4 linked regions of the Lepisosteus oculatus genome follow. The protein of the gene in region 2 interacts with the protein of the main gene of each other region in a pairwise test. Links are inferred from orthologs where the notes say so. Each region holds a gene or a part of one and is shown on either strand. Other genes may lie near its edges. The genes, in order: pnkp, trim37, si:ch211-236d3.4 and prc1b.

Region 1 (7,573 bases), on a different chromosome or scaffold from region 2:
AGAAAAGCTGGGGTAGGCGAAAAGACGAATTCCTAATGCAAGAAATTGTATAAGGCTAATAAAGAAACATTAACATTAACGAAGCAGAGACGTCTTTTTCTCTTTCTCTCAATGCTACATGCGAGCTGTAAAACACTGCCTTTCATGTCTGCCAATATGAGATAAAACGAGTGATTACTGAGACGACAGAGGTATGTTTGTAAAAAGAATCGACTGTAAAATTACTATAATATCTGAAAGAAAACAAAAAGCTGTTTATTTGGCTCTGTAGTGGGGGTAGTAATGTAACTCTGTTCAGAGAGCTCCGCGGGTGAGATTTCGATATTGCAAGATCATACCAAATCTATCACTTTCACGCGGAGAACAGCCGGGGTCGAGATATGGTTTTGGTAACTGAGTAGTTAGGTTTTGGACTTATACCTGAAGGGCAGATGTGAAATCTTTATCAAGAAGAGCTTCCTTTCGTTTTATTGACCTTTTGGATGTGCCTGGCAGGTTTCTAAAAAGGCGCGAAGCTCCAGTAGATACGTTCTGAGACTTAAGGCTTGTTCATAAGTTTGGTCCAAAAGTCTAGTTTAGCCTGTCTTAGCCACAATACGTCTAAAATCCCATATTTCAGCTTTAATGGAACAGCTCTGAAAAGCACAACAGTTCTGAAACTGTGGCGACATGTAAACCTGCTGTGTGATCTGTCACGGATCCTTAGTTTTCTCCTGTATTCGATATGGACCCTTTTCATACCATCATGCGTTTTATATACCATTTAAAGAAATTGTTTCGACTGCTGTTCTTGCCGAGATCAACGGAGAAGTCTGGATTGCAAAATGCCCCAGGCTCCGCTGGTTTGCGGATTGGGTGTCGCCGACAGCTCTGCTGACACAGTCTAACCCCCCCGCGGCTGTTTCCTCTCCAGCTACGTGGGCAAGGAGTATCAGTCTGAGAAAGAGCTGCGTTATCACCTGAATGACGTGGAGCGTCAAATGACCGCACAGTACTACGTCACCGAGTTCAACAAGAAGCTGTACGAGAAGCAGATTCCCATGCAGATCTACTTTATCCCCTCAGAGGTCCTCCTGGTAAGGCTCTTTGTGCAGCAGCTGCAGACGAGAACAGGCCCTTCACAACCCATCCAGCCCCTTTGGGTAGCTGAAGGGGAACTGCGGCCCTATTTTTATATTTTGTCAAACGTTCACAGTAACTTGTAAAACCTCCAATTTATGTCGCAGAATATTATTTCCAGGCCTGCGCAGCGCCATGTTCTGCGATTCAGAATGAGCCAGCAAAACATCCGGTGAGGTGAAGTGGGCCTGATGACACTGTAAACAAGCAGGCTTGTGAATCCATCTCTTTTAGTCCAGTTAAAATATTGCTCTAGATTTCTAGACGGTTTCCCAGACAAATACTACTCACTTGTTATCTCTGCACATGCCGATCAGGTTGGAACATTTCTGCGGTGAAATGTCTGCTGCCCAGCTTGTGCGTATTCGCTCGTCCACACCATCACATCAGTCAGTACAGGGACTAGTGAGCAGGAAGGGCCGCCTCACGTCACAATTCTCACAAGCTCTCGCCCGTGGTGAGACCAGGGATTTGTAACAGCATGGTGACTTGCAGTACTTTCACAAAGTTCACCATTTCGTGCTTCATACGAAATTCGTACTTTTTTTCTATACCGTCAACAAATTTATTTTGTTACAGAGATTGAATAACTTTCTTAAGAAGACCACTGATAACTGTATTAAAATTTCATCAATTTGATTATTAAAATATCATTTCTTTCTAACCATGAAATATTAAAATAGTGTGGCAGTTCCCCTTTAATAATAATGATCATGATAAATCTTTCAATTATTGTAGCGTAACACTTTGTTTTTATAAGCTTCATGGTTTCTAGCCATGATATTTTTCAGCTATGTGGATGCTCTGAAGTGGGCATAAATGTTACCATTTAACCGTTATTAGACTTAAGGTTAAACAAACATCATGACTCCTAAATACTCTGATGCAGCCAGTGCTCAATATGAGGGGCTGATAGATACTTAAAGGGCCAGATCTTAAGTAATTTGAATGAGAAAAAAAAATAGATACCAGTCTGGAATTGGGCAGGATGAGTGATATGAGTTTGTAATGCAAAAAAAAACCCCGTTATGTTTATGCTTTTAATTTTTTTCTTGCTTTTTAATGACTGTTAAAAAAAGTTTTAAAAATGCGACTGACAGCGGACTTTGAACATTTCCCTCGTTTGTGCTTAGATTCTCGAAGACAGGCTCATAAAAGGATGCGTGAGCGTGGAGCCATACATGCTGGGGGACTTCGTTAAGCTAACGAACAACAAGAAGACCGTCGTGAGGGACTACAGAGCCACAGACTACGGGATAGCGTTCGGTCATTTCACCTTCGAGTTCTCGGGCCACACGGAGATTGTGGTTGACCTGCAGGGTGAGTTGGGGGAAAATGCTGCTCCCGTGTGTAAGAGAACTGCAGCGCTATTTCATATTTCGCGGTCAGAAAGAATCGGCATTGATGTAAAACCCCTGATTTACTGTACATCACAGAATAGACTGAATGTCCACGTCTGGGCAGCGCCATGTTCGGAACGAGGCAACGAAATGTCCCGTGAGGTGAAGCTGGTCTTGACAAAATGTATCATCAGTTGTATTGTTAAGCGCCTTGGGGCAACCTTGTTGTGAAAGGCGCTATATAAACATAAATTGAATTGAATTGAAGCGGCCTCACTATTACAAGCACCTTTTACCAATTATTATTACACTATACACAAGCAGGCTTGTGAATACATCTCTTTTAATCCAATAGAAATATTGTTCTCCATTTTGAGGTGGTTTTGTGACAACAACTACTGCTTGCTTGTTAACTCTGCCTGCAGATCACTTTGGGACATTTCTGTGGTGAAATGTCTGCTGCACGACCTGTACTTATTCGCTCGTCCATCACAGTGCATTAGTCATTTCAGGGACTAGTGAGCAGGAAGGGCCGCCTCACGTCACAATTCTTACAAACTCTTGCCCGTGGTGAGTCCAGCAGTTTGCAACGACACGGCGACTTACAGTACTTTCACAAAGTTCCCGATTTTGTGCTTCATTTGAAAGTTGGCAATTTTTTCTATTACGTCAATGAATTAATTTGTTACCGAGATGTAATCGCCGGCCTGAGAAATGGGGGACTGGAGTTCCCCTCTAAAGTCACTTTTTTGTGTGTCTTTTCTTGCAGGCTGGGTTACGGGAAACGGAAAAGGATTAACCTACCTCACAGACCCACAGATTCATTCGCTCAAGAAACCCAAATCTTCCTCGAATTTTTATCGGCAGGGCATAGAGTACTTCCTTCAAGATCAGCATGGAGCCGACTGCAATGAAATCTGTCAGATGCTTTCGCTCGGGAAACTTCCAGGGATGTAGGAACGTCCGAAAACGAGAGCTGCCCGTCGGCTCACCTGGCTCGTCAGGGAGCTGTCGGCTTGTTGATTCTAGGATCTTAGCCGGCTGTTTCCTGAAAGAAGCCAGGAGTATTGGATTCGGCAACTTGTTCCATACTCCCACTACCCTTTGGGTAAAGGAAGTACTTTTGGTCTAAAGAAGTAGTGCCCGTTGCTCTGGTTCGTGCTTCAGTGTTGATGCCCAAGACGTCCACTGTCTTGACTCTTGTCAGAAACACTTGAGGAGAGTTTCATCTCTCAGCAGGTTAAACATGTGGAAAACCTGGACACCTTTAGATCCTGCAGTCCTTTACCTCCATTCATGAATGACGCACTTTATACTCAAGCCTAAAACTAAAATGTTATCTCAAAGTCTGTAATGTATCAACTTATGTAAATAACACTGTCCTGTCATATTTTATTGTGTTTTTATTGTGTTGGAGCCCTGGATACAAGAGTTGGTTGTGCTGTCTATGGGGAGTTTGTATTCTCTCAGTGTTCAACTCCAGGTGCTCCACTTTCGTCCCACAGTCCAGAGACATGCTGGTGGGTTTATTGGCTCCTGGGAAAACTGGCCCTGGTGTGAGTGTGCGTGTGTCTAGGTGTGACCTGCAATGGACTGGTGTCCTGTCCAGGGTGTATCCTGCCTTGTGCCCGTTGCTTGCTGGGATAGACTCCAGCTACCCCTGTGACCCTGTACTGAATAAACATGACATTCAGTACCAGCCTGCCGAGCTTCAGACCTCTGCGAAGTTTGGAGAAAACAAAATTCCAAAGATCCCCAGTTCTGTCAAATTTTCAATAAAGCAACAAAAACATGGGATCTGCTGGTTGTCATTCAGCATTTGAAAATTACAGCAGAATAAAATAGTCATTTTGAATAATTATTAAAATAATGATGCCTCTCCTGCTTTAAGTCCAAGTAACAAATACAGTAATTCCTATGGGAAGGACCACGATTTAAACACATAAAACTATAAAGTATTCTCTACATATGTACATAGTTCAAAATTGAGTAAATGAACTAGTAAATAAGTTAGTTTGCTATTGACAATGACTGTGTGGGTCGATAGCTGCATACCAACGCCAACAGAGGGTCGCCGGAACCATCTTGCGCTGAGCCGGGGGAGGAGAGGGGACAGGTTTCCAGGCGGACCCGGCACAAAGCTGGTGATGGGGGGCGTTTCGGTAGCTGTGGAGTACCAATAATTTGTACTCTGGTTTGTTTTTGTCGAAAATGTCTGCGAGTTCAAAACTAACCATATCGAGCAGAATCTGAAGTAGCATTATTGGCTTTCAAAAAGTCGCCAGTAGTACTGCATATAGGCTGTTGGTGACCATTTCACTCGCCTCAGGGGCGTTTCGCATTATTTTGTGTTTTTCCGTGATTCGGATCATTGAATTGATCGAGGTGAGTACAGCGCATCGTTATGAGCCGTTTCTGACACAGATCTGGGGTCAGCGAGTTGACTAAATTACGTGTCGCTAAAAATATTGCCAGAGGCAAAACGGTCCGTATCGGCTCATAACATTTCCGACAAGTGGGGGCATCGTGAAGATTTCACACATCTTTGCAAATGAAGAACAGTGTTTTCTAGTAAAAATCAAAGTTTAGTTTGTAGAAATTATTTTATTGTTACAGTTAGCAGCAGGTTTACATAAGCAAGCATTCAGGTGCAAAATAGTGCAGTTTATCTTGTAAAACACTCGCACACAACGACACGACAGTTGAGTAGTTTCGCGGTTCATGTACACAATGCCAAAATAAGGTGGCTTTTATCTGAATCCTGGGGACTCCACACTGCTGGTTTTCGTACCTCTAGAGCGCCTTACGTAAATATTTCATCGAAACAAGTTATTTCACTTTGATCTTTTGAAGTTTTCCGTCTTTAAAACTAAAATTTTAAACGTAGGCTTCGAAAAATAGCATTCCCATAACCTAATATGTAACGCAATATTAACATGAAAGTATTATATTTTAAGTTGTTTAAATTATAAAGGCAACCCTCAAACTACTTAGGAACTGAAGCCAACCATGATAGTTTAATTTAATTTTGTGACTAAGATAAGGGTTCAGGTTCAGTGAGGGGGACATTATACTGTAATAATGGCGCCGTCTTTCGGATGAGATATAAAACTGAGGTCCCGAGTCCCTGGTCAATAAAAATCCCAGGGTGTTTCTCAAATAAAGTAGGGATGTCCTGGGAACATTTCCACCTGGTCTTTACCAATCATGAGCGTACTGGTGTGTCATCCAGGTAGGGTGACACACTGGTGGGGGTGGAAGGGATCCCCATTACCTGTCAACAGCTTGTACTGTAGTGGGTAGGAAAGCTCTATATAAGTGTAAGGAAATATTATTGTTGTTGTTGTTACAAATGGGTGATTAAAAATTGTGAAAATCAGGAAATTAACTGATTGGTTTAGTCAATAAGTAAAATAAATAGTCATATCCCCAATTTGTAAGTTATATATATATACCCGAGCAGTTGGTATAATTAGAGGCACACAAAGTCTTTGTTCTCCAGCAAAGCTTGGTGAAAAGAGTTATATTCCAGGCACATTTGGTTAAACAACTGTTTCTTACAATGGCAAGACACAAGCTACACTACACACAACGAAACATGAAACACAGAACAGTTCGCTCTAACAAGGTTCAGAGACTTAGCTCCAGTCAGGTTTGGTTTGGATGAAGTAGGGGCTCTCGCCTGGCGCAAGCTTCGAGTTCTAACTCCTCTCCTCTCAATATTCTTCTCCTCCTGTTTCTTCTTGTGATCTGATATTGTGTGTTTCTGTACTGCTCATTAACAGCCATTAACCTACGATGTGCCTAGGTATACCAAAGTCAACTTTACATTGGCTTCTGATCAAGGGACCCCCACATCTGAACAAACAACCTCTCTGCATTGAGGTTGGAAGTGTTTACTCTGCCCAGTGTCACAGACTTTTATCGAAAATCTCAGAGACACTTCTCAGTCACCTAAACCTGTAATGATGTGTAAGAAAGGGTACTGGGTACAGCCCTGATGGGACACCAGCCCGTTGCAGGGCAGATGCAGACACAAATGTTCACACCAGGACCGATTTTCCCTGAAGCCAATTCCTTTGGAAGGAAACCGGAGCACCTGGAGAAAACCTCATGCAAACCAACAGAGAACATGCAAACTCCACACAGAACAGCACCCCCTCCTCAGCCCTATCTCTCTGTGGCTCTCCCCATGTGCAGATGCCTTGTGTGTTTTTCAGGGTTGGAAGTGCTCTCCCTCCCGGTGTGTTTCGGCGGCTCTCACCCTGTTTCTCCTTTCCCAGATGCACTGTGAGCTGACCAGTCAGTCCGAGGGCGGCCCGGCTGTCCCGCTGGCTGACGGCCGTGCAGTGATACTGGGCCGCGGGCCAGAATCAGGAGTGTCGGACAAGAAGTGTTCCCGACACCAGGGTGAGTCAAAGCTTCAACTGGGATTGATAATAATAATAATAATAATAATTGCTTACACTTATATAGCGCCTTTCTGGACACTCCACTCAAAGCGCTTTACAGGTAATGGGGATCCCCTCCACCACCACCAGTGTGCAGCCCCACCTGATTGATAGATGTGGGGGGGGGACATTGTGGGGTTCTGCAGCACTGATATCCATGTCTCACATTTGGGATAGGGGAGACGGCCCCCCTAGGCTTATATGTTGTAGCTAATTTAGCAGTAAAGTGACTTTTCTTTCCCCATCAATGACTTCCCTATTTAAATCTTCTTTCATTAGAGATAGAGCTGTGATCTACAACACCACGTTCTCTAAGTAATACGGCAGCGCATGGAAAGCTCCTGTCTAACTCCGCGTTTTTGTTATGGAGCGTGCAGAGAAGTTTTACAGTTTCCTTCCCAAAGCTATCCGTCTGAGGTTTTATCTTCCATCTGTAAGCTTTTTGTAAAGCTGCGTGATGTGGGACGGGCCTGGTTTGTTTCCACGGCTTCTGTCGCTTGTGGAAAGAGATCTGGTTAAGTTAGTTAAGGTCTGCTGTTGAATTTACCAAGGAGTTCGTTACGATAAAGGTGATCTTCTGATTCAACAAGTAGATTCCACAGTGATTTGGGCTGTTCTTTCAGTCTTTGTTCTGTATGTAACGTCTGTAGTTAAGCAGTTAAC
Region 2 (7,175 bases):
TCGAGCTCCATGCTCCGCTCTGCCACTAGTCTCTGTGTGAGCGCTGACACTGCAGGGTTAGTATTGGTGAGCTGGGCTCTCCCAGCACCAAGGGCCACACCTGCAACCTGCTGGGAGCCTGCAGGCTGGCAGTGATATGGGCTGGAGGCTGACTGTTCCTCTGAGAGGCTCAAACCTCCTGCAAGGGTCTGTGGAGCCAAAGGACAGCTGGCTCAGCTGGTGGGCTCGACGGAGGAGCAAACCCATGCATCTCATTCATTCTCCCGAGGGGGTACAGGAGTCATGGCTGGAGAGTCCCGTCTTAAACACAACACACCATTCCAAATGGGGTGGATATACATTATATGAAATGCTGGGAAATTCCCTCAATCTGATATAGCCACCACCTGGAGTGCAGGCTGGGCTCCACTGTCCCAAGGTTGTTGGCGCACATTTTACACTAACATGAACCCATAGCAAAGTAAAGATAACTGGACAAGAGGTGTTAGGTTACAAATGCACAAACTTGCACATGGTTTTGAGCTTTCTGCCATGGCAATTAACCAGCATTTCCATTAGCTTTAAGAGTTGACAGTCTGAGAAGAGCAGGTCTTCTGTGTGTAGATTTCAGAGAAGCTGTGCATGCTGTCCTGGTGTTCAGACTGGGACTGCAGCAGAGCTCTTCTGATAACAGCAAATCCAACTTTAAAATGAACAACACTATCTAACCAAGGTAAAATACTAACAAAAGGATTCTTATCATCATCTGCAAAAGGGAATGACTGACACTTAAAACAAACCCTGGCGGTACTTGTTAAGACCTTCAAATAACTCATACTAGCACAGCAAATGAAATCAATTCTCATTAAGGTCAGACCCCAATCCAGTTAAAGAGCTGGCTGAGCTCACTGTATTCAGAAGAGTGAAATGCTAGTTTGAAATAAAGCTGTCATGGGAGTGGGCAGGTTTAAAATCACAGAACCACCAGGCTGCATACAGTCAGAAAGGGGAGTGTGGGGAGTCCATCACCTGCTTCTTCAATAACCAAGATATCCACCTAATAAGTCTACTGCAGACATGCCCTGGGGTTTGTACCTGCACCCAAACTCAGTTTAGGTTCAAACTCAGGTTTAAAGAAAATGAGAAACCCTTAAGGTAAAGGCAAGAGCTCTTCATTTTAACTCACAAAGCAGGCAGACCCAGGACTTCCTGCTACACGGACGCCCACGTTCTGACCCACCTCCACACTTTGCTCGTCCATTTCAGACGGTTTTCAACCTGCTTGGTATCCTCAGGTGGAAAACAAAAAGCCGCTCAACCCAACACCTGTGAAAAGAGCATTACTGAATAAGACTTAGAAGTCTGCCTTTAACAAACGTTAAGACAAAATAGGCTCTTTAAACTTTCCAAGCACTGGCATGCTATCCAAGCCACCATCCAAACCTCATATTGCAAAGGATTTTAAATTAGAATGAACACAAGCTATTTGATCCTTTAAACCACATTCTGAGTGTACAGTATATCTAGAAGAGTAAATACGTGACGGAAAACATTTTCAAGCTTAGTGCACTTACAAGATACACAGTGTCAGAGAGAAACGGTGAAAATGGCATCGCCTTCTGCACTTCTTTAGGGCCTTACCATAATACCTCTAGAGATTAATACCTCTGGGATACTGACAGTATACCAACCTGTTCACATTATATAATTTATTTCTTGTCTCTAAATTACTTAGTCTCTTTTCAAAATGGTATAGTCCTTCCATGTGACTGCTTAAAAAGGCAGAGATTCTCCAGCTCCTCGATTCGCCCCTATTTTTATTTATGAGGGTTGCTTGTTGGCTCTGAGGGTTGTAATCACTCGAAAGCGCTATGGCTACAAACTGTGGTCAGAGCCCTCCGAAAGCCCAGACGTCCATTCTTCTGGGAAATGGGCAGGAGCTCAAACACCTGCCGCCAGATTTCTGGGGGTCTGCAGGGTTTCAGACGAGATTTAGCACGTAAAGCGCATTCGGACTCAGGCACAAGGCTATTTGTAACGACAATGCGGGCAGGTCTCAGGCACCACTGAGACTGCAACCTGCCAGCTCTGCGTTAGATCACACTCATCCCTCCACAAAAATGTATTTTACCCACGGCAGCCTGAAAACGTGGCTTCAAAACACGAAGCGTGCGGATGCCTTTCGCCATTTTGGGGATTCTAATTGTGGGGGGTAAATCGGGAAATATCTAACCTGAGCGGCTTGTGTTTGGCAAACCATGAAACAGGCTTAGCAATCCTTCTCCACGCCTATGCAGAGACCCAAAATGAAGAAGACAGGGCCGTCTGCGAGCGGCCCTGAACGCTGCAGGTATGGAGTCTCGCAGGGGGTCTGTCCTGAGGTGCATCCCAGGCAGCTCCCAGACACAGCGCTCCTCCGAAACCTGCTGCGTCTGGCTTTAGCTATCCAGCAAATTACAGCCCGCCTGCCCTTCAGGGGAGACCTGCTCTCTGCAAGTTGTGCCTAACTCGTTGCTACTGAAGAAAGGACCCAAAACAAACTTCATTGAGATGTTAAACGAAGCGCAGCCCCCTCCCCTCCCGGGGGTGCCGAGAGGCTGGGCACTCGCTGGAGGACTGGCGGTGGGTTGGACGCGGGCAGGGGTGTTGGAAAACCCGGACCCCCACACTGCCCAGGACGCTGGCCGGGTCCAGAGGCGGGCTGGGCAGCATGCAGGGAGCCGGGAGAGCGGTACTTACGTCGCCGGGGCTCGGAGGTGCCCAGCCGGGCGGTCAGCCGCGGCTCTGCAGAGGTGAGGGCGGAGCGCTGAGCACCCACCCCGCCGCCTGTCTCTCACACACACACACACAACGGGCTGGTGGGAAAATAACAACGCCTAAGCGCTCGTTTTGCCGTTATTTCCTATCTTTTAAACGTTAGCTCCTGCACCCCACCTCCATTCTCCTTCCCCCTCGCCAGTCACAGCTACTGGTCACCATTGGAGACCGTTTCGCCCCCCCCACCTCTCTCTCGCGAGGCCGCCGGAAGCCGCTGAAATCCTCGCTCGCCAATGGCAGAGAGAAGAGGGGGCGGGATCTCGCGTCGCAGAAGGGCCGCGTCGCTTTTCCCCTCCCCCTGAACTCGGGGGACACGCCCCCTGGTCTGGTGGGCGTGAAGGGGGTGTGGCTTTCGTGACACATCTCCGCTGCGATTGGTCAGGTGCCGAGAGGCTTTCAGAGTGGAGCGCAAGCCAGTCACCGACGCCTTGGTACTTTTTCCATCTGTATCCAATCACAGCGGCTTCCGCTGAAGCCACACCCCCGCGGCCTGCCCAGACAGTAATGAGGAGGCTCTCCTCAGGAATTGGGGTAGGGAAAAGAAAGACGTCAGACAGCCAAAGGGATTAGAGGCGCTTCCGTTAGCAGGAGAGGCGGGTTCGAAGCGTCCTCAAATCTTGCGCGTCACCCCAGCTGCACAGGTGGGGGTCCTGGGGTCTCCGTGTGAGCGCGCTTCATTGCATAACCACAGACAGTGCGGAGAGAGATAAACAACATGAACGGTGCTCGCATGCGAACGTCGGTTCACCTTAAATCCCTTTAGATCGGCACAACATTGCAAAAATATCAATGTCTTTATCATTTAATCTTACATGCCAACACGTGAAATTGAAGACAAGCTACGTATATTATTATAGCTGCGCCTAACTGAAGGAAGTATGCAGCAAACTGAAACGCAGTTCCATAATGGAAAATTATAGGCACCCTTAATCTTCAATATATTAATAAAATTACTAGGTGTATTCATTAAATACAGCTGAGACATATATGAGTGTCATAATTGCAATAGTTAGCAAAGCTGTCTCACAGGTCTTGGGTCTTGGCTTTGATTTGTGACCTGGTGCGCCTTCCGTGTGGAGTTTGCATGTTCTCCTGGGTTTCCTCCCGGGTACAACAGCAGGCGGATTCTCCCTGTGTGTGTCCTGGGGGTGTCCAGCCTCGAGCCTGGTGCCTGCTGGGCTCAACGTTAAGCGTTCCTTGCGAAGGGGTTGGCGGAGGTGAGATGCTCCAGGCTCGGCTCTGCCGTGACGCCCCCGCGGAGGAGCCTCGCTCTGCAACGCAGGAGGTCTCCCCTGCTCTCCAGGGGGAAGTGACCCACATGCTAAATGCGGGATGCCCGGGGGGGGCGCGCAGCCGGATCATCCTCTCTGGCTGCGGGGAGCCTTGATCAACGAGCCGGTTCTGACGTCTCAGGTGACCGCGGGCTAATTGAAGCGTTTCGTGAGGTGAGCTCCATCGGGACCTCGGCTCTCACTCGCAGGGAGGATCCCTGTAGGCTTTCTTGGGAATGACAACTGGAATCCACCCTCCGTGCTCAACCCAATAATCACTGCTCTGCTCGCAGCTCAGTCTCTGCTCTTGGCCCTGGACTTGTCATTACTGTTTTAAAACCCACGTTTGATCAACAGCCCTCCCGCCAATAAACGCTTCTGTTGGGATACAAAAGTAACAACACCGAAAGCATATATCATATCGTATCATATCAAGCATAAAGCAAATCGGGCGGAGCAGTGGCTCTGTGACTACTCCGTTGGGCCCCGGAGCAAGGCCCTTAACCCTAACTGCTCCAGGGGCGCCGTACAATGGCAGACCCTGCGCTCTGACCCCAAGCTTCTCTCCCTGTCTGTGTCTCCTTGGAGAAAAGCTGGGGTATGTGAAAAGACGAATTCCTAATGCAAGAAATTGTATAGGGCTAATAAAGAAACATTATTATTATTATTACATTATTATTAACAACATATATAGTTCCCAGGGATTCATTTTGGCTCATCTTCTGATCCGGAAAACTCAATTTTCCCTCCTCTTTAGGTCAGATTTCCCTTCAGTTAGGCACAGGATATCCCCATGAACACATGGGCATGTGTTTTGGCTTCATCTAAAATATCCTCACAGTCACTATGCCTCTGAGCAAAGCCAGCAGCAGGCCTTCTATTAAACAGAGCCGGGACACGTAAACCAGCAGAGCAACAGAGAGAGCAGAAGGCCAGTGGCCTGTGCATCAGAGACACACGGAGTTCAGAGTTTCCGACACCCATCTCCAGCCCCTGACTGGCACCAGCAGAGCCAGGCTCATCCTCAGGGCTACACCACACAGTACCAAGAGCTGGACAGTTGAAGAGAAATCCAAAACAAACATTAGATTAGAATCAAAGCAAGATTTTCGTTTATTGTTGTTAATGCTGTAATTCAATTTCTTTTCCTGGTTTGCCAAACACAGAGGAATGCAGAAAGGTATTTCTATTATTTTCTAATATGCGGAAATAATAATCAAAGTCTCTGACTTACTTTAAAAGGACAGACTGGCTGGTTAACAGATCTTTCCAGGTCCACTGCCTCTAGGCCTCTATGCATTGATGTTGGTTAATTGCTTCCAATTATCTTGCAAAAAAGTATGAATCACTGAAGTTGTCTGATGTACTATGTCAGTGATTGCATATTATCACTGTGCTGGTGCTGAACTCCCTCTGCAGAGTCCCTGCTGAAATAAGGGAATCTTTACAGAGTTGTATTTCCTGGGGTCATGGCCTCCCATGCTGAGGACTCTGTGAGGTTCCAGAAGCTGGACGGCGAGGTCTCTGGCGACGGGCTCTGGCTGCTGCCGGGAGAGTTCTGGGCCTGTGTGGGGTCCGTGGGATGCTCTGGTCTGCTGGGCCCTGTGGACTCCAGCTCGGCCTCCTCGTCTGTGAATGAAGCACAGGTGAGCAGGAGGAGGCCGAGCGTGTCAGGCAGACCAGTACATTTTAATTTCTCATTCTCTCTGGAAATGAATTCATATTCCTGTGGGGCCACGCCTGGTGATTCGGCACCCAATCAGGCTGAGAAGTGACCTTACTGGGCCAGACTGCAGAACCCCAGCCCGGCCTCCAGGGTTAACACTCCTACTCTTCTGAAAAGGGCCGGGGGATAGTCAGGGCCCAGGCCTAGCTTCTCAACCGAGTGGGGGCACAGTGTCCTCGGACAGCACACTGGAGCGCCACCTCCTGGTCCACTGGTGCCGAGCTGCCCTGGGGACTCACCCTCGATCACCCGCACCAGCACCGGCTCGCTGCTCTTCCCCAGGCCCAGCCCGTCCACCGTCGCCCGGCACCAGTAGCGCCCCGAGTGGCGGGCGGCGGCGCTCCGCACCACGTGGCGGTCCTGGGACGAGGCCACGCCCAGCCGCTGGCCGCCCCTCAGGAAGCTGTAGCGCAGCCTCAGGCCCGGCCTGCGGGGGGTCAGCTGGGCCCGGCAGCGCAGCACCAGGTCCTGCCCCCGCCGGACAGGGGTCTCCGTCAGCACCTCCATCACCGGCTCGCTCAGCAGGTCTGGTCAGCAGACGGACAGGGTCAGAGAGGGCAGCTGGGGCGGCATGAGAATGAGCCGCTGCTCTTTTCTGGAGAGCATCTGAGATCGGCCACGCGCTCACCTCTGACGGACACGCCGACCTCGGGGGACTCCGCAGTCTTCCAGCCCCACCTCTTCCCCCAGGTGGCCCGGCACCCGTAGAGCCCCTCGTCCCGGGGCGAGAGGCTGGCCAGGTGCAGCTGGGGGCCGCTCTGCCTCGCCAGCACCCGGCCGTCCTTGTGGAAGACCACCTGCTGCAGCCTGGGGTTGCCGCGGACACGGCAGGTCAGGGTGGCTCCGGCGCCGCGGAGCAGCGGCTGTGGAGGAGTCTGCAGGATCACCCAGCCGCCTGCGGGCAGGAGGCACAAGCTCAGGGCAGGCCTGACCGCTGGGCCAGCCCCACCAGCCACCACCCTGCAGCCCTGAGACGCCAACCCCCTCTCAGCGCTTCCCAGTTCTCTAATTCATCAGCTACTGCGCCACCAGCGAGCTCCTGTGGCAGGTCTGACGCCACTGTCCTCACTCATCCCGCAATCGCGCTGTGTCACGGGGTCACCCGCGCTGGGCCTGCAGCACCACACAGCGCACGCGGCACGAGACCGGGAGACAGTGCTCACAGCTGGGAGTCTGGGGAACAGGAGCCAGCCTCCTGGCAGGAAGTACAGCTGCCAGGATGGGTACCGAGGAGAGGAAAGGGAGGAATCGTGGCCCTGCTGGTTCTTACCGGTCACGCGGATGCTGATGGGCTCGCTCGGCAGGCTGCGCTGCGGCCAGGCCCGTGCCCGCAGGCCCTGGCAGGAGTACTGCCCACCGTGGTGAGGCAGGGCGGGCCTCAG
Region 3 (7,513 bases), on a different chromosome or scaffold from region 2:
ATTTAATTTAGAATAATGTGACTTTTTTAAGCTTTCTGTAACTTATATACCATTTTCACTCTATTAAAGCACATGTTGTATTATGTCACCTCTGGCACATTCACAAAACTCCTGAAGGGTCTGGATGATGGCAACATGGATGAAATTTCAGCCATCACTCAGACTGGCATTTCTAGCAAGCTGTAGACTGCTGGTATAGTCCAGTACAATTGTGGATTACCAGCCAAGCCTGCACATTCCTTTACTTATTGGATAAGCAGGTACACTGTAGAGGCAAAATGTAGATATCAGACCTAATGATCATCTACTGTAGGTAACAGCTGCAGCTGATATTTTTCAAAATCTTTATATTGCTGTACAGTACATATTTGTTTTTATTGTTTATATGTTTATTATGAGGTCCGTGTTTGGTTTAATACTTATGTAAAACATAATAATACTTGCTTCTGTTTAGTGCTTTATTTAGAAGTCACACTAAAAACCACACATTAGTATGACATTTGGATTACCTTGTATAGCATGGTAACATTTCCACATAGCATAATGTTTCAGGGTAGTATGGTGTACTGTATATGCTAGCTAGAAGGAGAACTAGATAAATTTGAGACCAGCAGTTTTGCATACTTATTTTTAATGGTGATCTTGTTTCCTTGGAAGGCTTCTTTCTTTGGAAGAATAGGGGAAAATCACCCCGCATGTCCATTGTTTGCTCTGAGATTAACTGTGTTGTGATCATTTCGCTCTGTGTCATGTCCTAGATCTCTCTTTCTGTGATCTTGAGTAATTGTGAAAGCTGAAATTTCAAAATTTTATATAAAACATTTAATTTCTTCATCTTGTTGAAAAACGCATAATCAGCAGGACTGTTGCTATCCTTTTTGAACAAATGTTAGTTTCCAATCATTTTATTTTCATCTGTTCAATAGCAAACTATATAGTATTCACCCCTGATAATACAGGCAGGACTATTTTACTCTTGTGTTACAACTTATGTTCAAGACATTTACATTTAACGTATTTTATATGTACTCATGATGCATAATATATTCTGTAGAATGACAGGGGCTTGTAGATATTAACTATAAAAAACAATAATGGCTTATACAAGATTTTACAAAATACCTTTAAAAAATAGTTTTTATATAGTCTGGACTTCCTAAAACATTCCTTATTTACAGCCACAAAGCTTATTGATTTGCGCAGCTGTCAGTTGTCATTGCCTGCTCCTTGACCTCTAATTGCACACTCTCTCCCTGCCCTCAGCTAGAATGCTCCACCCCATAGTTTAAATATTTGGGAATTTACTCAGCTTTAACTTGTGTGCTTGCTGGGTTTGACAGGGCTAGCTTGCTGTAAAGCTGCAATACTGTTTCACTGGTTAATAAAACAGTCTCTGGGACTTTGTGAATCTGTAGTTCAACTAGTGTTATAGTATTTATACGTGTGTTACAAATGTCATGATGAAGTGTTGCTGTAAATGGCAATTTGGTGGTTGATGACATTGTATGACTTAAAATGGCTCTGAGGTTCTGGAGGAAGATGCAAGTCCCACATTCATTTTATTCTAAAAATTATCTAATCTACAGTTACGTGGACTTTTACTACTATGATAAAAACAACGTGTCTTTCATTAAATAACAGTACAGTTGAATCAGTTAAATTCTTTTTGAACCTAAGACAACTCTGAATGTTTATTCTGTATTTGTCTGGCTCCTATTTTCATTTCTTGTTTAAAATAAATTAAATTGAAAAAAGATTACTCCTCTGGATAACAAGTAGAAAGTCCATAAAAACAAGAGACCTTATACAGTACATACAGTATAAGTATATTTATAAGTAAATACTAAAATCCTTGAGCTTCAAGCATGGCCTGCTATTTACAGAATTCAATAGAAGTTTTTTTTTTCATTTTGTACATGTTTGTATTTTGTCCTGGTAGTTGTAGGTGCTTAACAGTTTAACAGTTATTAAATAGTTAATTCAAAATGGTCGACAGTAGGAAATGTTCCATATTGACACTTGTGCTAGTATTCCAGTTCAGGGGAAAAAAAACCCAATCAGCAAATACATAAGAAAGGGATCATTTTCCTTACTTTCTTTCCATGAGCTGCTCCCATGTTGTCTGGTCCCTGTGTGCCGTCCTTGGAGTCTCTTGGAGTACCTATTAGCAGTGTCCGGAGAAGGAGTTTCCACTTTACTGTGCCTCTGTATTGCTAGCAGAGTGCTGCTGTCCACACAATCTGTAGAAGGCACAGGCTGCAGCAGAGAGTGTAAAAAAAAACAGTCCCTGGCTCCCTGACAGCTCTAGGTTATTCTACAGAAACTGGCAGGCTAGATCAGCAGGATCTTAAAGTAAGCACATTCAGCACCAGGTCCCTGGAAGTGACCACAGTCTACAATGGTGACAGAAGCCACAATAAGGGAAGATGGCATACTACAGTTCCTACAGCACACCTAGTGAGAGCATAAGATCACTTTTATAAATAACAAAAGAGAACAGAACCTGGTTGGCCACCTGTGCATGGCTGACTCCCCACTCTTAAAGGCTTAGGAACATAAGTGAAGATTATGTTAATTGCCACTGACAGGCCAGGATACCACAGAGAGCACATGGCCAGTCTTACAGAGAGCCTCACTGCAGGAAAATGACTATTATAGCTTGGAAAAACAGAAAGAGACAGTCATTGATTTAAAGGCAAGGTACAGTACTATCCCTCGTACCTGTTTTTCAATCCTCTGCTAAGGATCTGTTTCACAGAACTTAATAGTAATGAAAACTAATTGAAATGAAAATGCACTCTCCCTGTCTGTCAGCCTGGACTCAGAGCAGCTGGGTGTAGAGGAGCCTCTGGTTTGAGCTTTAGCTAATGACATCACAAATGGGCACTTCTTGAACTTTATAAAACCTCTTTGCTGCCTACAAGCAGAACACACTGCTGCTGCCTCACACAATGAAACTGTTCTGTTCCTCTATCAAATGCGCTTTGTTAGCAGGACTGAGGAAACTAAAAGCTTAAGGTGGAACAAAAGTATTGCGTGGATTGATAAACTGTAAAGCTAACCCAGGAAGTAAACATTTGTCTTTTAAAAACTAAATACACACCATTGAACAGTAAATATAATATATAGTAATTTGGTGCAATAAGGAGATGTATAATTATCATGCAGGATTTAACATTTTTGTTCTCAGTCAAAAGTTGTCTGAAAACATTTGAAAAAGTTTGAGTTCCAGTGTGATAACCTGTGTTGTTTTTTTCAATGTTTGTCTCAAGGGGAATACAGACTATAAAGTAATTAAACATTGAATTGTAAAAGAAAGTGAAAGTGTCAGAGCTGAATGAACAGTGGAATAGGAAACAAATTAACAAAGGCTTGAGAACTCTCTTAATTTTATTATTCAGACAAAAACCTTCAGTAGAAAATGAGAGACAAGTCAGTCTCATTTGTGCAGCAAAAATACTAACACAGCACAACACCTCAATTATATAAATAAACTTGAATTTTACATTACATATAATGTGTAATTAGACCTCAACAACATTTCGATGTAAAAAAGACAAAACCAAAGATTCAAAGTCAATAACATATTAAACACAGCACCAATCCTGTGCTTAATGACTGAACTTCCAAGTTCTGATTTATTAATGGTGGGGAACAGAGTTCACCCCAAGTGTTTGAGTGTCTGTACTGTTGACCTTTTTTAACAGCTTTTAACACATTTTTCATTTGAAAAGTAATGCATTGACACAGAGAGATAAGTTTGACAAAATGGAACTTACAAAATGCATGCTAAAGAATATAAGAAATGGATCACAAACAAAATCTTTCTTTGCAATATTTAACTTAACGTGATTCATGCTGTCAGTCTGAGCCCCACTGTACATCTGTTATATCTTCTTAGGAAAACATCCATCCATTTCAATCATCTCAGGCCAGCCATCATAGATGTTTGTATCCTGGGCATTTTTCAAATGCTTCAACAGATAAGTAAAACACATGAAAAAATGCTACCTGGCAATAGTGGAAGATTATTGTTGTTGCAAAAATTGTCATTATGCCAACAAAGTTTGTACAATTTATCCTTAGATTGCTGTGGCACTGAACTGAAGTAAAGCACTGTTTATAACACAGTATTCACTTACTATTATGCACACATTTATACTTAACATTCCGTGAGGTGTGGAAAGGGCTGGTGTTCAGTTTATTCTAGGTTTGGGCAACCATACTAAGTTATGGTGACCTCTCAACTCAGGAACATGTTGTTATAAATTGCACTTTATGTGTTGGTAACTTATGGTATATTTATTTTTGCATTTATAGACTACTTTTAATTAGTTTTAAGGTTTATCTTTTGCATCATATGATTACTTACAAAATGAACATTTTTTCATGCAAATGTTTAATATTTTCAGACTTCATTACCTTTTCAAATGGACTCTTCTCTTCAATTCCTTCAGCTCCTATGAAAAGCCAGTTATCTCGATATTGCACTGATTTTATCATGCTACTTCCAAACCTGGTAAATATTTCTCTGATCTCATCATTCATGCTGAAAGAAAAAAAGAAAGGCTTAGCTTGCACAATGTGAATTATCTGTACTCTTGTCTGCTATGATTTTATAATGATTTCACAGGTAGACTATCTGGTAAACATGGAACTTTCAAAACTAGATGAAAATCACCATAACTTTAGAGAACATTTAGGTTCTCTAAACTCTAAAAAACCTAATAGAGAACAATATTGATTGTGATTTTAAAATATAAAGACATATTATAAAACAGGATTATTTCTTCCATCAGAAATGAAGAAATTCATATTCAGAAAAAAATATTCACCATCGTAATACTTACTTTGTTGCTGGTTCATCATATGAAGCCACTATAATAATTGTCCCAGGCTTTATTGCTTTAAGGAATTCCAGTAGTCCTTTGACATCTATGACAATATAACTAATTCAGTTAGAATGAAGAAATAAAAAAAAAATATATACTATATCCAATATCGCCACTGCTAATAATATTACATGCATATCTACAGTTACAAATCTTTTTTAAATCAATTCCAAAATATAGCAAGAGAAACATTTTATTATTTTAATGCATTCAGAAGTGAAGGCTTTTAAAGGAAAGCAGTCACAGGCTTGTTGTGAAATGGCAAGGCACTACAATATCATTTATAATTGCTTAATGCTGCTTTTCTTACTTTCAGAAAACTCTTGATTTTCTTACTACATAGTGCAAAGGAGTCCTTTATGTCTTACTAGTGAATAGTCATTGCTAATTAAACTTCATCTGTCAACTTTCAGCAGTTACCTTGAGAGAAGATACATCCGCACCTAAACTTAACACATAAAGGAAATCTTACCTCCAGCATACATGTTAAAGGATTCAGCCTTAATTATTTCCCCAGTCTGCCCTATAAACCAAGAAAGATGTTTTTAATCTAATGGTAATTCTATTTTCTTGTAGTCTTTCGAAAGAGTAGTTATATCATCTCTGCTATCAAGTTTTCTACAACATTTTCATAAAATGTTTTTAAAATATTTTTTGAAATTTCTGTGAATTAAATGTCATTGAAATTAATACTCTAACCATAAGAGTAACAATTTATATGACTTAAAATCAACATTATATTTTAAAAAACATTTGATTAAACCTACCTTCCGAATAAAACCAGTAATTATGGTACAATTAACAACTTGAATGTAGAGCTTCATTATGTCTGCAGACCTTTTACTGAATATAATTTTGCTGATAACCTAAACACTCCTATTCTAATGGAAGTAATTGCACTTACCATTTACAAGCAAAATGTTCAGTCCCGATCCAACATTATTTAATGCATTACTCATAACACTGGAAAGATAACACAAAGAGGTACAGATCTGAAATGTATAGGGCATAACAATATCAACTCTTTCCAATACTAAACAAAAGTGGTGAAATATTGTTTTTTTCCACAAAATGAAGAGTGAAACAAACTAAAAAAAGATCAAATACTTTTAAAAAGTAATAATATCATAAAAAAAGATAAAATAAAAAAAATGTTTTTTACAAGTATGCAAATGGCAAAGGTATGTTATAGTTTACTGGTGCCAAAACAGTCCTCTTTTTTGTTCATTTTATTTATAAACACTCAACATACTGCAACAATCATTACTGGCAGTAGCTTTCTTAATGGGAAAGATCAGGCAGTTTATTATTGATGTATAGTTTATTCTTTCAGGGAATATCAGAATGACTGAAGTGCAGAATTTGAAGTAACTGTTCAAGTCGTAAGGCAAGTAAATGTTAACACTAATACAGTACACCTGTGTTCACCAGTGCAGTCCCTAGTGTCTAAACGTCCTGATCTAATCAATGGTGATAGTATACTGCCACCCTCTGGTGTGAATGTCTCAGCGTTATTCAATTTTAAATTGAGGTGATATTGGATACTAAATCTTGCTGTAATATTATACATTAAATGCAATTTATTTATAATTTAAGTATTGTGAGTGTATAGTCTTGTATAATTATGAACAGATAAAAGTAGTGGACTAGCTGCCCTAAGATTCACTACAAGTTTCTTTCTATGTTTTACAAGTATTAAAAAAAACCTTTTTGTGATATAGAAAAAATACTAAACCTGGTAGTTTAGAGGCAGCATGGTGGCCCAATAGTTATCATTGCTACCTTGCAGCACTGGGGCCCTGGGTTCAGTTCTGGGGTACTATCTGTGTAGAGTTTGTATGTTCTCCCATGTTTGCATGGGTTTCCTACAGGTTCTCTGGCTTCCTCCCACAGCCCAAAGACATTGGTATGTCTTTATACATACTGGTGTAGGTTAATGGACTTCTGGAAAAAGTGGCCCTGGAGTGAGAGTGTGTACAGTACATTGTGTCTCTGTGTGCCTGTGACTGTTTGGTGTTCCTCAAGGGTGTACCCTGCCTTGTGCCCTTGGCTAACCAGAATAGGCTGTGACTCTCCCCTTAATTGGATAAAGCTGTTGGAAAATGAATGGATGGATGGTAGTTTTGGATAAAATCACTGTGTCTGAGAAATGCTTTTACAGATGCTTCTCAATGGTTTATTTTGAGTAATGTCCATTTTCACTAGGCCATGTAACTGACTGGATAATAATCATTCAAGATTATTATAGTACTGCATATTACATTAGCATAGGGATCAACTCAGGTCATCCCTGTATCCCTGGTACTAGCACAAGAGAAACAACGATAATGTTTCCTCTGAAACACGCACTGTTGTTCTACCAAGACCATTAAGTTCTTCTCACAAAGTGGGTCGCACAGCATAAGGAGCACTTTTGGGGGCATCTGGGATATCAAGAATAGTAGTCCTCATTGATAGTATTGCTAGCATTTGCATAACAAACCACAAGGGGGCACTTATGCAGATAGCCAAGAATGTTTCATACACATCCTGTGGTGCTGGAATGTCATTTGTTGTGGTTTTGTGGAAAATGTTTTCCAATAAGAATTGTACTCTAATAATAAGAAAACGAAAAAAGTAAA
Region 4 (7,296 bases), on a different chromosome or scaffold from region 2:
GTAGGAATGAATTAAGGGAGAGATTAAGACTAACAGACCTTTTCTGCCACGAGGTTGGCAATGTGATGGCGGAAGTGGTCTAGCTGCTCCAGGGTGGGCACGGCGTCGCTGTCGATGCAGTAGGAATCGCTGCACAGAATGTCACACAGGTCCTGGTCCTGCTCTTTCAGTGCCTTTAGCTCCTGCATTCTCTGATTCTTCTGTTTTAACATCACCTCCAGCCGCGTGCGAATATCCTTTTCCAGCTGCAGCACTGTGCTGCCTTCTTCTTCCTGTTAACAAGAGCTTCTTTAACGACTGGAAAGACAGGCATGCGAATAACAGGCCAGGACTCGGGCCAAAACTGCTGCAACTGTTAAGCTAATGCAAGTTCCCCCACTCCCTGGTTACCCAAAACAAAAATTTGAGCTTTTTTTGATTGTATAAGTGATTAAGTAACCTACACCACACAACAAACTTCTAAACTAAACTTCCAAAATGTATCTGACAGAAACAGGACGTATGGCACAAAACACTTCACTTTGGTTTCCTTCATCACTCGTACCAGTATCCGACGCTTGCAATAACTGGATTTTTTTGCAGTTACCTCAAACGATGTCAGGTGAAGCTCCCTGCACAGCACATCCAGCTCTTTGCGGCACATTTCAATACTCTTCAGCAGCCGTTCCTTGAGGTTCTCTTCTTCTGCAATCATCATGTCCAACAGCCCCTGTGGAAATGATCTCTTATTGGTTCTGCGACTACTATCTCACTTATCCACATGCGTGGCACTTAGGCAAGCAGATATAGTTTAAAGCCTCAAAGTACTCACTTTAATGTGCTTTTTTACCACATCCGTCCTCTGCAATCGCTGGTCCTCTGGGATCCCAATCTCCTCCCAGATGTCTTTCAGTCGGCAAAGGGCTTTATTCAGACATGCCACAGACTCTGCAGCCAGAACCTCACTGGCAAAGCAAGAATTCAACCGTCAGCTCCGTGATAATGGTCAAAGCTCACCCAAGAACAACCCTAGTATGAAACTTACAAAGCAGGGATCCCACTCTTGCATACCCCTTTGTGTTTAATATTTAATATCCCAATTATTAAGGTTATAGCAATCAAAAAAGGCATACTGGCTGCATTAAACCAGTTTAACTTCAGGGAAATCTGGTAGTCATGAAGTGCTTGTTCTGCATCTAGGACCTGTTGTTTTATTCCGAATACTTTGATATTGCAGTCTCAGAAAACAACATGAACATTATGCTTTAGACTTACAGTTTATTAGAAATAACTAGGTTTGAAAAAATGTGCCCTCATTTACTTGACTAGCCTGTAACAGAATTTTGTTTCAGAGCTACTGTGAGAGTATTCAGCATACTTGGTTTAGAGTTACTCCACCATATTGGAATGTTAATTATTTGTAACAGCTACTAAAGCTCTAATCTCCCCTGGGTAAGACACACCCAGTCTGTTGTGCCAGTCTCTTCAAAGATTTTAAATGTAAATAAGAAGATTCTGTTTAAAAACGAGTGGATTAAACCACCTTTGTTTGCTGCGACACCAGCTGAATGTGTAGTGGTTTATTTCAAAGCAACATTTGATCAAACAGATTGAATTTTAAAAACTAATGTCTTTGGAATTGATTACTGCTCAGCGACAGTTCTATTGCCTTGCAGAAACTTTTGAAGAGACTTTGCACTTAAAACAGAAAAAGAAAATTTAAGACTTTGGGCCCTTATTCCTTGTACTGTTTATGCAGAACATTATGAACCAATAAGATCTTTAACAGGACAAACACCTGCACATTCAACTTTCAACCTCACGATTATTGTAAGATTATTGTATTGTGCAGCGATAAGATGGATGTCGTAAATATTTAAATTAAAAAAACAATACCTCACAATATTGTATCTGGACTGCATAAGGAGGATTATGTATAAAGATTTGCTTTCTATAAATATACCAGCACTAGCACCATTATCGCTTTCTGAGGTTACACCCACAAAACAGGTGCAATTCCACCCTTAGTGACGCAGTAGGAAAATGTAAAAGATGATTAGGTTCTTCAGTTCATTTTTTGGCACTTGTAGCATTATCGGCTTCAATTAGCTACCATAGCTTTATACATTGGGGCTGTAGTTTGATTAGGGCCCTGGCTTCAAACTCCAGGCGAGACATTGCTGTTGTAACGCTGAGCAAGGCACTGCATCAAGCCTGTTCCAATTACACATACCCAGCTGTAGAAATGGCTGCAAGTATTAGTAGCTTTGAATACAAACTTCAAATAAATTAATAATTAGTAATAACATGGCGTGTTTTTGAGATCATAGCATTCAACGCGTATCTAGGTACACGAAATATTGAATGATGCATTTAATTCAGTATTACATTCTAGAAGAACTCCCGAAGCAGTCGCGGGATGGACATCAATGTTCGCTTCATGAGCATGAATTGGTGCCATTGAAACGAAATCACTGCTGGCCTCGAAGCGACGTGTATTTTTAAAGCGACTTTGTTTCGAGTATTGTAGACTGAGGACGCCTGCGGTCGTATGCGTACGAAGTGCGGTTAATTTTCCTTTTAGGGATCTCAACCAAATGTTTGTTTTGATTCGAGACGCTAATAAACAACTGCAATGCGGGGTTGGACCTTCAAAGCACAGAGGGATATAAAAAGACACGATCAAAACTCGGCTGCCTAGTATTTGACATTTTCTTTATGCCACCTGATTAATTTCGGAAGTTAACTTAACCAAAAAAAACATGTTTAATAAAAAAAAACATTTAATAACTTACCTTTTGCGCATGATGAGACTCCTCGTATTCCTCAAAGATCCCCTTGATTCTCCTATTTACTATGTTTTTGATATACTTTTTTTCACAGCAGTCTTTTGCATGCAGGCTTCGTCGGGAAATTTCTGACCGTTTCTCTTTCAATTCAAATGCTGCGACTGAACAGTCGTCTCTTTCCATTGGCTAGGACAGGCGGGACGTCATCAGGACCATAGCAACAGGAGCATTTCTGGCCGTGGTTGCGTATATCCGGCGTGTTTCCAGGTTGGGTGTTTAGGTAAGGAATGGTGTGGTGGCCTTAAAAAAGACACCGAAATTATATTTGTAGTTGGAAGTATACAGTACACGATTCAGTTGTTTTTGCGTTCATGTGCATTCTCTGCGTCTAATTGTGCTTTTGCTTCTTTTTTTAAACCACCTTTTCGATCTCTTACATTATGTTGCATAAATGTAATAATTGGTGTGTTGAGAAAATGTTTTGCATTTTAAGTTAAATCACATGTAATGAACGGAAACTCTGGACACGTGAAAAAAAATGAATTTTCTAGTTCAATAAAACTGAACAGAGCTCGAATCCGCACTACTTTTTTCGTTGTGTAAAACGTTACTAGATCGTAGAACGAAGCATTTCGTCTTGTATAATTTTACGGTAAAATTATGTTTAATCTATTCATTTGAATTTGTAATTCAATCACAATCCACATGGTAAAAATACCCTTAAATCTTTCATCCTAAAATACAAGTTCCATAGTAGTTGCAGTAGTTCCCTGATGACGTCACGTAAATGCACACTTTAAAAAGAACCAGGCGTGCCCTTACCTTTATAATTAGGAAAATATGATGATTGCGATCAAATTGAGAATTTCAAGTTCTTTGTATTTTGAATGTGTCCAGAGCCACTTTGTAAAGTTTGGCAAAAATGTTAAATAAATGATGCAATCAAAAATATTTACAACTGAAAACTTTATTCATCTTCAAATCTGGTCCTCAACACCCCATGTGTACATTCTCTTCCGCTTCTGTTAAAATCCAGCTTCACCATTTTCAGAAATCCAAGCACAGGGAGGATTCAAACCCAAAGAATATGATCAGAAGTTCGTTATACCAGTCTTTCAACAGGAGCTTGGTGACAAAGACATTCCTAAGCCAGGGCCTAGAACCAGTTTAGGTGATGGTAGCAATTTCTTTTCAACATGCCCTGTTAATGAGAGCGGACTTGTCTATTTCTGTCATACTGAAACAATGACAGAATTTCCCCTTGAAAAATTACAGTAGAAATGTCTTAATTTAGTACGACCACCGAGAATCATCTTTTTATGTAGTGATGAGATATGTTTCATATATTTGTGAAATTAACTCATCTGAAATATCTCAGTGCAACATAGTGTGACCACTTGTTCTTTCTGATGTGATCACATTCCTTGTGGGGGGTTACAGCTGTTGAGGGATATCTGGGCATTCAGTGCAGACATGTTTGCTCCTCCATTAGTAAGGTGCATGAAGAAGACAATCGTTCCTTATATGAGCAGCTCAGCATCTGATCCACTGCTGCATCATGCACAGGCTCCATCAATGGCCGTGCTGCCAAGCCAGGAGACGCAACACCTGCACACGTACAGAGAGATCACTTAATTGGCCATATACAATTTATTGTATATGGAAATTTGTCTTTTGCATACCCCAACTTGCTCTCCATGAGACACACAGAGAAGCTTGGGGTCAGAGCGCAGGGTCATCCATTTATACGGCGCCCCTGGAGCAGCTGGGGTTAAGGGCCTTGCTCAGGGGCCCAACGGAGTAGGATTCCCCCTGCTGGCCGTGGGATACGAACTGGCAACCTTCCAGCCACAGGCGCAGATCCTTGGTCACAGAGCCACCGCACCACACCCAGATGTGATTCTTACATGTTGGCTGCCATCCCTGCAGAATTTTCTAATGCTCTTATCCACGGACAAATGGAAGGTAGAGAATCAAACATATGCCATATTCACAGCACTGACTGTACAAAGTGCTTGTCGGGGAAAAAAAAAAATCTGTTGCTATGAATTTCACACTGAAGCTGCTAGATTTGTTTCCTTGCAGTCTTTTGAGAGAAGGGAAACAAATCCAGACAATTATAAGAAAGTAATACCATGCCAGTTAATGTAGTTTTCTTGTTTTTATACTGAAACTTGTGTGACCAGTGTCTTGTTTACTGGCTTATATCAATGTTGTTCAAATGTAGGACAGTTAAAAATGAAGTGTATTAAACCTGGTCTGCAGTTATTTTTCTGGAATTCACTTGATTTCATGTTGCCCTGAAATGGACTGGTTTGATCTGTCTTGTGCTCAGGCAGACTCAGGGCTGCCTCAGTCCTTAGCAGGAATAAAAGAGAGGTAGATGGATAGTCTGTCTTGTAGAATGGAAAATAAGATTTGCTTGCTCTTTGGTCCTAAAGACTCTAGCATTGCATCATAACTACAAATTTAACATCAGTATCTAATTACACAAGATAAAAATGGATGGCAAGGAGTATTAATCTTATCTTTTTAAGAGATTTAAGTTTTTCTTCTCTCCTCTGATATGAAAAATGCTTAAATATCATAGTTATATATTCTACCAATATATTAACAAGAGAATCAAAGAAGAAATTGTTTTTTTACAGAGAAATGCCTTGTGGAATCTTAATCTGCAGCCTGAGCTCCCAGTTTTCTCTCGTGGAAATCACTGTTCTGTTGTCGTAGCGCCCCTGGTGTCCGTTTATGGAAGTGCTGTAGATGAGTCATTCTCAACTATCCAACAACGCCTCCAGCAGTCGGGCACTGTTAGTGATGGCTGTTGTCACGATGATGAACCTGTATCCTAAAAAAAAATTAAAGGACAGTTTTTTTAAAAACTTTTTTGTTCTATAAAACTGAATTGAGTTTCTGGTTTAATTTAGGTTACATTTAGTCACAAGAAATCATACCAGAAAACGCGTGCTGTACTCAAAGACTTCAGTCTCATCCTAAGGCCCTTCCGGACCACTCTGTCTGAGAACCGTGCAAAAACCAACTCCTCATGTTTTTAATTGACCATCAGGATCAATAAAAGAGTTAAGGACCTGAACTATTATGGAGCTGTAGAAAGGGCCACATGCCAGGTGAGCTTTATGCCTGTACATTATCTCTGCTTAGGTATTTAATGAACGACTATGAAATCATGAAACAGTCATGAAATGCAGTTTGAAATGTAGCTATACCTTACAGGCAAATCCATTCCATATTTTTTTATTTATTCCTGTGCCTGATGTGCACTTGAATCTTCCCAATTGCACACCTCAGCGTGGAGGAGCAGATATTTAACACACGTACCTGCCCTAGCATGCTTGACAGTCACTTCCTGGAAAGGCTATGAAGCTACTGTATTCAAATAGCTTTTTTACAGATTCCCTCCCAGGTTTGCACCACCCAGTTAATGAAAGCAGATGATTGCAATATGGATATTAGAAGAGATGAGAATTGTAACGATTCCACTAAAACTAGAGATTAATGCTATGTCTAGTATGGAGGGCTGTTGCTTGATTTTTTATGAATACATTATATGATCTGGGTTATTTGCACCCCTGGTTATCCCCCATTAACTCTGAGCACCATCTGTGCAGTTAACCATTTCTTTTGTTGCATTTAATTCCACTACAAAGTGGAGTAAAAACAAAGCCATCCTTGTGAATATGAATCTGTATTCCCTACAAACAGAATTAAACAATCACTAACACTGTATTTGTGTTCTTATTAGAAGCCTTCAAGAACGACTTCCTCACCTCTCTCTTTCCCCAGGAAGCGCAGGGCTGAGATCTCTGAGTAGGTACAGCCACCCAGGAACATGACGAGGATGGTGTTCTGGGAGTCACTCCTCGGCTTCACCTCCTCGCTGCTGCCTGCTAGAACACACACAGGGGTGTCTGCTGGGGGCAGGTTTCTCTGGGGCTCCCACATCCAGTGAGAAAACCTAAACTCCGTTGGGCCCCTGAGCAAGGCCCTTAACCCCAGCTGCTCCAGGGGCGCTGTACAATGGCTGACCCTGTGCTCTGACCCCAAGCTTCTCTCCCTGTCTGTGTGTCTCATGGAGAGAAAGCTGGGGTATGTGAAAAGACAAATTCCTAAGGCAAGAAATTGTACATGGCTAATAAAGTGATCTTATCTTATCTGGGCAACATCTTCTTAATAGGAGTTAAAGTGGAACGGCAATGCTATTTTTATTTTGCGGGGTTAGAAAGAATCGTCATTAACGAGTGCATTTCAAACCAGACTAAAAGTGAAATGTACACAGTAACTTGTAAAACCTCCATGAACATCACAAGTTGAAGAAATTTCCAGGTAGGCACAGCACCATATTCTGTAATCAGAACGAGAGAACAAGACTCCGGTGACGTGTTGCGGTCTTAATACATTGTAAACAAGCAGGCTTTGAGGACAAATACTGTTAACTCTACGTGCACATCACATTGGAACATTTCTGCGGTGAAATGTCTGCTGCGCAACCTGTACTTATTTGCTCTTACAT

Evidence for each region.
Region 1: the proteins of trim37 (region 2) and pnkp interact in binary tests that used the Homo sapiens proteins (3 or more experiments, as listed by UniProt). The two-hybrid records come from large-scale screens. The link is inferred for Lepisosteus oculatus from reciprocal best matches to the Homo sapiens genes TRIM37 and PNKP.
Region 3: the proteins of trim37 (region 2) and si:ch211-236d3.4 interact in binary tests that used the Homo sapiens proteins (3 or more experiments, as listed by UniProt). The two-hybrid records come from large-scale screens. The link is inferred for Lepisosteus oculatus from reciprocal best matches to the Homo sapiens genes TRIM37 and FAM107A.
Region 4: the proteins of trim37 (region 2) and prc1b interact in binary tests that used the Homo sapiens proteins (3 or more experiments, as listed by UniProt). The link is inferred for Lepisosteus oculatus from reciprocal best matches to the Homo sapiens genes TRIM37 and PRC1.

What each region holds. Positions count from the first base shown.
Region 1 is NC_090718.1:4,412,604-4,420,176, forward strand, and holds the start of pnkp (bifunctional polynucleotide phosphatase/kinase), read left to right. Parts: upstream 1-4,561; 5' UTR 4,562-4,844; intron 4,845-6,742; coding exon 6,743-6,869; intron 6,870-7,573. Other genes in the region: alpk1 (alpha-protein kinase 1), read left to right, coding at 914-1,076, 2,253-2,439, 3,229-3,416. UniProt on the Homo sapiens protein: Plays a key role in the repair of DNA damage, functioning as part of both the non-homologous end-joining (NHEJ) and base excision repair (BER) pathways.
Region 2 is NC_090721.1:715,664-722,838, forward strand, and holds the start of trim37 (E3 ubiquitin-protein ligase TRIM37), read right to left. Parts: upstream 3,023-7,175; 5' UTR 2,719-3,022; intron 1,306-2,718; 5' UTR 1,241-1,305; coding exon 1,166-1,240; intron 1-1,165. Other genes in the region: high affinity immunoglobulin gamma Fc receptor I-like, read right to left, coding at 5,512-5,696, 6,033-6,320, 6,422-6,688, 7,064-7,175. UniProt on the Homo sapiens protein: E3 ubiquitin-protein ligase required to prevent centriole reduplication. Probably acts by ubiquitinating positive regulators of centriole reduplication.
Region 3 is NC_090699.1:47,312,706-47,320,218, forward strand, and holds the start of si:ch211-236d3.4 (actin-associated protein FAM107A), read right to left. Parts: upstream 3,004-7,513; 5' UTR 2,118-3,003; coding exon 2,094-2,117; intron 1-2,093. Other genes in the region: protein FAM3D, read right to left, coding at 3,888-3,974, 4,423-4,549, 4,851-4,935, 5,365-5,415, 5,797-5,855. UniProt on the Homo sapiens protein: Stress-inducible actin-binding protein that plays a role in synaptic and cognitive functions by modulating actin filamentous (F-actin) dynamics. Mediates polymerization of globular actin to F-actin. Also binds to, stabilizes and bundles F-actin.
Region 4 is NC_090700.1:49,381,735-49,389,030, forward strand, and holds the start of prc1b (protein regulator of cytokinesis 1b), read right to left. Parts: upstream 3,023-7,296; 5' UTR 2,786-3,022; coding exon 2,775-2,785; intron 945-2,774; coding exon 812-944; intron 710-811; coding exon 587-709; intron 273-586; coding exon 39-272; intron 1-38. Other genes in the region: vps33b (vacuolar protein sorting-associated protein 33B), read right to left, coding at 5,540-5,613, 6,554-6,673. UniProt on the Homo sapiens protein: Key regulator of cytokinesis that cross-links antiparrallel microtubules at an average distance of 35 nM. Essential for controlling the spatiotemporal formation of the midzone and successful cytokinesis.